Oryzias latipes: one gene and its partner. The protein of the gene in region 2 interacts with the protein of the main gene of each other region in a pairwise test. Links are inferred from orthologs where the notes say so. Each region holds a gene or a part of one and is shown on either strand. Other genes may lie near its edges.

Evidence for each region.
Region 1: the proteins of gucd1 (region 2) and cth interact in binary tests that used the Homo sapiens proteins (3 or more experiments, as listed by UniProt). The two-hybrid records come from large-scale screens. The link is inferred for Oryzias latipes from reciprocal best matches to the Homo sapiens genes GUCD1 and CTH.

Annotation. Positions count from the first base shown.
Region 1 is NC_019862.2:13,073,942-13,077,773, forward strand, and holds part of cth (cystathionine gamma-lyase), read left to right. Parts: intron 1-81; coding exon 82-216; intron 217-309; coding exon 310-367; intron 368-1,373; coding exon 1,374-1,451; intron 1,452-2,576; coding exon 2,577-2,729; intron 2,730-3,832. UniProt on the Homo sapiens protein: Catalyzes the last step in the trans-sulfuration pathway from L-methionine to L-cysteine in a pyridoxal-5'-phosphate (PLP)-dependent manner, which consists on cleaving the L,L-cystathionine molecule into L-cysteine, ammonia and 2-oxobutanoate.
Region 2 is NC_019867.2:25,326,974-25,331,511, reverse strand, and holds the start of gucd1 (protein GUCD1), read right to left. Parts: upstream 2,856-4,538; 5' UTR 2,504-2,855; coding exon 2,497-2,503; intron 2,402-2,496; coding exon 2,317-2,401; intron 2,235-2,316; coding exon 2,069-2,234; intron 1,993-2,068; coding exon 1,901-1,992; intron 1,826-1,900; coding exon 1,584-1,825; intron 475-1,583; coding exon 383-474; 3' UTR 1-382.

The DNA of each region.
Region 1 (3,832 bases), on a different chromosome or scaffold from region 2:
CCTTCTACTCTCATATGTTAAGTCGAGATAAAATGTGTTTTTCACCTATTTTGACGCTAAAATAAGTGAATATTTGTGCAGCTTGTGTGGATCGAGACACCAACCAACCCCACGATGAAGGTGGTTGACATCAAGGCCTGCTCCGATTTGGTGCACGAGCACAACAAGGATATCGTGGTTGTCGTGGACAACACGTTCATGTCGGCGTATTTCCAGGTAAAGGATTGATGTGCATTTCACACTTAGTAAGTTTTTTTGGAAATGGCTGATGGAATTATACCTCCTGCGTTTTATTCCGAACCCCCACAGCGCCCTCTGGCATTGGGAGCAGATATTTGCATGTATTCGGCCACAAAATACATGAACGGTGAGTCATGAGTCAAATCACGTTTTGCCATTTGAAAGCATCAACTTTTATGTAAATGTCATTTATTTGCAGCAGTTTAACTAAAGGCTTTCTACGTTTTTAGAATCTTCTGTTATTTTTTTTTTCTAAACTTAAAGGAGATGATTTATGAAAATAATTTATTTGAATGTTTTGTAATTTTGATTTTTTTATGTGTAAGATGATCTTTTCCATCTGACTGTCTAAAAATAAAGACTTAAAAAATCAGATTATCTTCTTTCACTTTCGGCTTCTCCCAGCAGGGGAGGGACAACCCTCCCTTGAGGATGAGTCGCATGGTTAACTTGGCAATGTTTTTAGATTATAATAAAGCAAAAGTTGTTTTTGGCAGTCTTATTCATTTGAATGGTTTAGACCCTTGTTTTTCTTTAAGCGAACAATGATAATAATAATAATAATAATTGATACTTTATTTATCCCACAATGGGGAAATTCTTCTCTGCATTTGACGCATCCCCTGGGGGAGCGGTGAGCTGCAGCCAAACTGCGCTCGGAAGGCAGTAGCGTTTAGGGTTAAGGGTCTTGTCCAAGGACCCCCACTGGGTGATGTTAATCACTCGCCTTTGATAGGGCAATTGCCCCCAGTACCATTGTTTATTCCCCTCCGGGAATCGAAAATACCTGTATTTTTTGTTACAAAAATCTCATTGGCCAATTGAAATAAATATCTTCTTTTGGAATATTACAAATTAGATCTAGTTAAAATCGCAACATACTTCAAAATCTACATAATTATACTTGAAATGACCCGTCCAAGCCCTGCAACAGACTGGCGACCTGTCCAGGACGTCCCCTGCCTTCGCCCACGAGTGGCCGGGATAGGCTCCAGCAGCCCCTTGACCCCGAAAGGGACAAAATGGGTTAGAATATGAATGAATGAATGCCCCATCCAAGCAGCACACTGGTTCATGTTTTACTGCAGCATGAAGGTTTGGCTGGTTCTTCAGTCGTGTCCTGTGCTCCACAGGTCACAGTGATGTGGTGATGGGGATGCTCTCATTGAACAACGAGGGTCTGTGTGAGCGACTGAGGTTTCTGCAAAACGGTGAGTTAATGCCACACTGGTGCTGCAAATGTTATAAATCTGATTACTGCGAGAGAAAACCAAGTGCTTTTATTTTGAAACATTTGCTGGCCTAAGAAAACTCTCGGTGAATGTAAACTGCATTATTTTCTTGAATATGAAATATATATATATAAATATATATATATAAATATATATATATATATATATATATATATATATAAATATATATATATATATATATATATATATATATATATATATATATATATATATATAAATATATAAATATAAATATATAAATATATATATATATATATATAAATATATATATATATATAAAAATATATATATATATATATATATATAAAAATATATATATATATATATATATATAAAAATATATATATATATATATATATATAAAAATATATATATATATATATATAAAAATATATATATATAAAAATATATATATATATATATATAAATATATATATATATATATATATATATATATATATATATATATATATATATAAATATATATATATATAAATATATATATATAAATATATAAATATAAATATATAAATATATATATATATATATAAATATATATATATATATAAAAATATATATATATATATATATATAAAAATATATATATATATATATATATATATAAAAATATATATATATATATATATATATATATATATATATATATATATATATATATATATATATATATATATATATATATATATATATATATATATATATATATATATATATATATATATATATATATATATATATTTTACATTACATTACATTACATTACATTACAGACGAAATGTTTGGACACACCTTCTCATTCCTTTAAATGGGAAGGTCTGTACTGTATATAAATTTATATTGAGTTTGGCAGAAACCCTTACATTAAACTGGCTTTTTGCTCCACTCCACATTTGGTGAATTGGTTATTTGACCTACATTTACTTTGTAAACAACTAACACATGAACCAAAGGTAAGAACCAATTTGAGACCCTTTCAGTGTAAGAGGATTGTTCCTGCTTCTTTGGCTTGCCAAGACTTGAAGTTGTGTTTTTTTTCTGCCTTTTGTTTTTGTCGGGATACAGCTCTGGGTGGTGTCCCGTCTCCCTTCGACTGTTTTCTGTGTAACCGTGGACTGAAAACGCTACACCTGCGAATGGAGCAGCACTTCAAAAACGGCATGGCTGCTGCTAAGTTCCTGGAGGCGGATCCCAGGGTGGAGCGAGTCATTTTTCCTGGTAATGGAATTGGCTTCAGCCATTTTGCCGACTAGTGGGATAGGCCACTTACTCCAACCTCCCAACTGTAAAATGAACTTTTTCGTTGCACATTTCTACTGTATTTAGTGTTTTAACAGAATATTTTTAATTATTGTATTTAAACAAGTCTGCATGATAGAATATAAGTAGCTTTTATTAGGTGTCTTCTCTTTGACTGTATATCTTTTCTTACCGTATTTTTTAGCCCAAATGTTTTAGAGTTTTTTTTTTTAGTAAATAAACTATTCCAAACTATTCATTTTACAGAACAGATATTCAGTAAAATGATGCTTAAATGTCAAGGAGAGAAGTGACTCCAGATGAGTAAACACTGCCATCTAGCGGTGTGTAGGGTGTAAAGGTAAGTGAACAGCAGCAGAGGTGTCATCTAAATGGGTGCAATGAGCTTAACAGACCCATAAACCCTAAGTAAGTATAAAAGGATTCATACGGTGGCCCAGAAGGGTCACAACACATTAACTTACCACACAACACATTAACTCAACACAACACATTAACTCACAACACAATAACTCACAACACATTAACTCACAACCGAAGTAAAGATGCAATGGAAGTGCTTTTATTCTGAAATTTCCACTGGGCTGAGCGGCTAACTACCTAACAGAAAGTAACGTCACAGTGAGCTGTGGAGGGAGCACGTTGTTGCCAGATTACCCTTGCCAGATACTCTGGTGGGCTACCTTAGATTCATACATGCTGACTGAGCAAATCATTTTAATGTTAAATAAAGTTGGACGTGGTAAAACCAAAGAACTGATCTAAGTGGCTGGGTAGCTCGGTTGATAAGGTGGAAGGTTGTCACGCAGGAATACAGGGTTTGATTCTGAATGGGCAATTACCATAGTGAGGGCCCTTGAAGAAGGCCCTTAACACTACTGCGTCCCGCACAGCTCACCATGCCCCCAGGGGATGGGTCAAATGCGGAAAACAAATTTGACTGAGTAGCTCAGTTGGTAAGGTGAGAAGCTACCACGCAGGAATACAGGGTTCGATTCCCGGAGGGGAATGAACAATGATACTGGGGCAATTACCATCTCAATGGTGAGCAATTAACATCA
Region 2 (4,538 bases):
GGAGGCTTTTGAAGGCATGTGGAGGACTGAGCAGCTTCACATCAAACACAGCCGGCACACAATGCTGCATGTTTTCAATAGAAACCCTAAATTATCTGCACGTTACTTCCTGTTAAGTCATATTCCAGGTTCCCCACATTTTCACCAGATTAGAAGTCGACTCCCGGAATCAAAGTCTTTAAAAATAAAAACAAACTGGACCGTCCCATTGGTCGAAGACCATCCCCTTGAAATCAAGTTGCCCTTCGAGCTGGGACGTCCTCAGACGTTCGGTCAGACGTGTCTTTATTTACAAACGAAGGAGGAGATGTTGAGCCACTAGAGGGCAGACCTGCAGCGTCACCATGACACAAAAAACGATGGCATCCTCCTTTGGCGTCCATCAACTCTCCTTGTAGATGAAGAGGATGTCCTCGTCTGTTCCATAGCTCTGCCGGGCCTCCTCGAAGTTACTGACACTGGTGCAGCACACACCTGGAAGAAAAAACATGTTTTCCTGAAATGCTTCCATCAGAACTCCACAGACGAAAGAAAAAAAAAAAAAGGTTGCTGGTTCAGCCGGTCTGAAGCAGTCCAAAGATTCAAAGTCTGACCTTTTAGACAGCATCTGTAAACTGAAAATTTTGGGGAATTCACGAGAAAAAAAACCTGAGTAAATCAAAAATTTACAGTTGAAAGTTTCAGAGAATACAAACAGACATCAAACAAAAAGTTGCAAATAAGAAATGACAGAATTTAAATTCTGTAGATGGAACTTAAGAGGTAAATCAAAACAAAAATCATTCTAAATCTAATTGTTGCTATTGGAGCATTTTAGTTCATTGTTCAAAAAAAGCCATGAATCTGCTTAAAGACTCACTAATGAAAACGAGGTTTTTGGTGGTTTTGCAAGTTCTTATGGCATTTTTCTGAACATAAGCTTAAAGTTGCATGTCTGACAATTTCTTCATTTAAATTGTGAATCAGGAGCAGACTAAAAAAAAATTTTCTGTTTGATAAAGATTGTATTTGTTCACTGGGCGGACCACAGACTACCTGCTCCGCTCCATTCTGATGCATCCACTTGCAGACACATAGATCCATGTTTGTCTTTGTTCTCCTCGTCTGAGCTGGCATCTGGCTCAAAACAGTATGGCTGGATATAACTCCAATATTGCTCGCCATTTAAGTTGGGGGTGTGAGCGGCTATAAGCTAGCAGGAGAGCGTGTTAACAGAGCCCTCAGTTATGGGTGATGTGAAGAGGGCGGGGTTGGCCAACGGTCGTACTGACAACTCAGAGGTGAGTTTTTATTGAACTCCTGTCGCTCTGCAGAAACTATGTTCTAAAAATTGATACAGGTTTTTTGATTTGGGCTATAAATTGCACAATCATGGTTAAAAGATCACCGGGAACGCTTTTAAAATAGATCACAAGATGTTTGGAGTGGGACTTTATGACATAATGGACACATGCATTTTAAAAATGCTACTTATGCACCCTTTGTAACTAAAATGAACTTAAATGTGCAGCTCTTCTCAACCAGCATGGGTGAAAATGATCAAGATACATGTCTTTTTGGACAGAAGAGCTTTTTAAACTTACGGTCAGAATAAGCAGGGTTGTTGTAAAAGATGCTGCCAGCTGTCTTGTTGAAACCACATAAAACCACAAAGTGACCCTGGTACTCCGGCTTCCTGCAGAAACACTTCTGGCCCACGGGCAGGAAGCAGCAGTACTTGACAGGAGAGGAGCACAGCTCACAGGTCAGGATCACGGCGTTGACCAGCACTATGGCGACGTGGCCCTGCTCCAGGTGCGACTGGATCTGCTGAACCGTCACTGAACTGTGGGAGGATGGCACACGTTAGACATGACCTCCACAAGGCAGCAAACATGCGGGGGAATGAGCTGAAACTCACCACTTCCTGACAATCACACCTTTGCTTTCCGCCTTTAGGAAGAGTTCGTTCACTCGGTCTTCCTCTGTGTCAAAATGCTTTTTATAAAAGGACTGCAACACAAAGTAAACAGCATGATAATCAGAACTTCCAGGAGTGTTCTCAAACAGCAGAGACTCGGAGAAGTACCTGGTTTTTAAAGCCTTTATCCACTCCAAGAGTCTGTGTGTAGAAGCAGTGTTTGATTCCTAGATGGCTCATGAGGTAGGCCAGGTCAATGGTCCACACGCTCTCTGTGAGCTTCAGTTCCCAGCATGCTCTCTGAAACTCCTCATCACTCAAAGGGTGGAGGTACCTGCAGTCCACGTGGTCATGGTCTTGTTTTAAGGTGGTCTTACTGTTACTGATTCTTGGTGAAAGGTCAGAGGTGAACTTACTTTAGGACCATTCTGGAGCAGGCTAAGCCACAGTCCCAGTGGTAGAGCTGCCGGATGACAGGAACACTCAGCAGGATGGCATCCTCTGAGTGAGAGAACCAAACATCGCGTAAAGACTGCTGCTGTGTGTGTGAATGGGAAGATTTAACCCGGGTTAAATGGATGTGTCGCATTTCGTACCTGTCATTCTGCTGCGCTCAGTCTTTTAAGGACGGCTTGCTAACTCGAAGCAAACTCGATGGTCCTGTTTCCCCCCCCTGCAGGCGGGGCTGCCTTTCCTCATCTATGCCAACTAAAGAGGAAATATGCCGGGTACACGGTGAAAACGGCGCGTTTGGACACAGCCCCGCCAAACATACGATTATTGACAAGTACAATACATGGCAAAAATATAAAAAGGATTTCCAAAAAACAGACTCCGCTGTTATTGTCCTGCCAGCGCCTTCACCGTCTTCCTCACTTTTTCAGTTGTTTGCTAGTGGCCCAACACTGCCCACGGAGAAGCGTCGTGTTTAGCAAGCTTGTTGCTCTACTGCCCCCGTGCGGTGTGGAGGACTCACTCAAGGCAATTTAATGCAATGTTAGACAGAGAGAGAGAGAGACAGACAGACAGAGCGAGAGAGAGAGAGACAGACAGACAGAGCGAGAGAGAGAGACAGAGAGACAGAGAGACAGAGAGACAGACAGACAGACAGACAGACAGACAGACAGACAGACAGACAGACAGAGATAGTCAAAGAAGTCATTAAAGAAAAGTAGAAACATCTTTATCTATAAGCTATTTCTACCCTTCTTCAAAGTTCTCGTGTCCTCTTTGGAACCTGTCGACACATTTCCATGTTTTTGTACCAATTCATTTTAACAATTCATCCATATCATAATTTGTGGTTGCTGGTTAGATTCCCTCTCGATTTTGGTTCGATTGTAAGGATCCGACTGGATTTGAATAACTGAAAATCGATCTGGGACATATTTAGCCAAAAATCCACCAGTGTAATTCAGAGATAAATAGCTGGTACTGAACAGTGCAGGTGAAGCTTTCCAGATACCTTGTGTTTCTTGCAAGATAAGCAATTGTAAATTATGTGTATGTGTACAAACAAGAATACATGTCAAAACCATTTACATTTTAGTTTCCTAAAGTTCAGCCTGCTGTTGTTTTTCCACATCAAAATAATCCAAAGGGAACATTATTGGAACATTCTACCAGACTGTATGGTCACATGTCTTTGTTAAATTTTAAGTGTTTCCATACATTGGACTGGAATGATGGACTGATCGTTTTTTACTGTCATCACATGTGTGTTGTCCACTGTGATGTACTTGTTTTTTTATTGTAATAGTAAAATAAACATACTGTGCTGCATTTTCCAATATTGATATGATTGACTTATTTCATCTTGATAATGTTCAGGTTGGTTTGATTAAAAATTTCCCTCAGACAGATCAATCCAGTTGGATTGTAGTACTATAAATCGATTCATTGATTAAGTCAATTACTCGTTACACCCCTAGTTTATTTCTTTAAATGCTTTTATGCATATTTTTCAAGCACAAAATTAAAGTTAAACGTTGTAGCAGGACTTGTTGTGATGTTGTTGTCAGCTTTGTACAGAGAGCGGGCTGCAAAGTGGTACAGTGGTTGGCGCCTCTTGCCTCACAGCCAGGGGACCCTGGGACCTCCCTGTGTGAAGTTTGCATGTACTCCCCGTGTAAGTGTAGGTTTTCTCTGGGCACTCTTGACCTCTTCCCGAAAACATGCTTAACCGGTTAATATATGACTCGAAATTGTGCCTAGGTGTGTATTTGAATGCTAAAATTTAAACGCCACACTCACTCTGAACTGTCTCAGCTGACAGTTCAGAGTGAGTGAGACAGAAGTAAAAATCAAGGAAATCACACAATTTTTTTTAATTATTTTTAGAATAGTGCAGAATATGAGGAGTTAGGTAAACTTCAGCTACAAGACACAGAATGCGGGGAAACAATCGAGGAAATCACATAGTAGGATTTTAATGAAAGAATTGATAAATTAACTCCTACAAATAAGCAAGAATTCGGTTCCTCACAGACCTGTTACCACTCCTTTAAGAAGCTCTTCTGTCCAGAACTGGCCATCAGTATTTATGTATCTTCTTTGAACTGGTTATCTGTATAAAAGACACTTGTCCACACCCTTAAACAGTGAGACTGCAGTCTCTCCACTCTGACCAAAGAGCTGT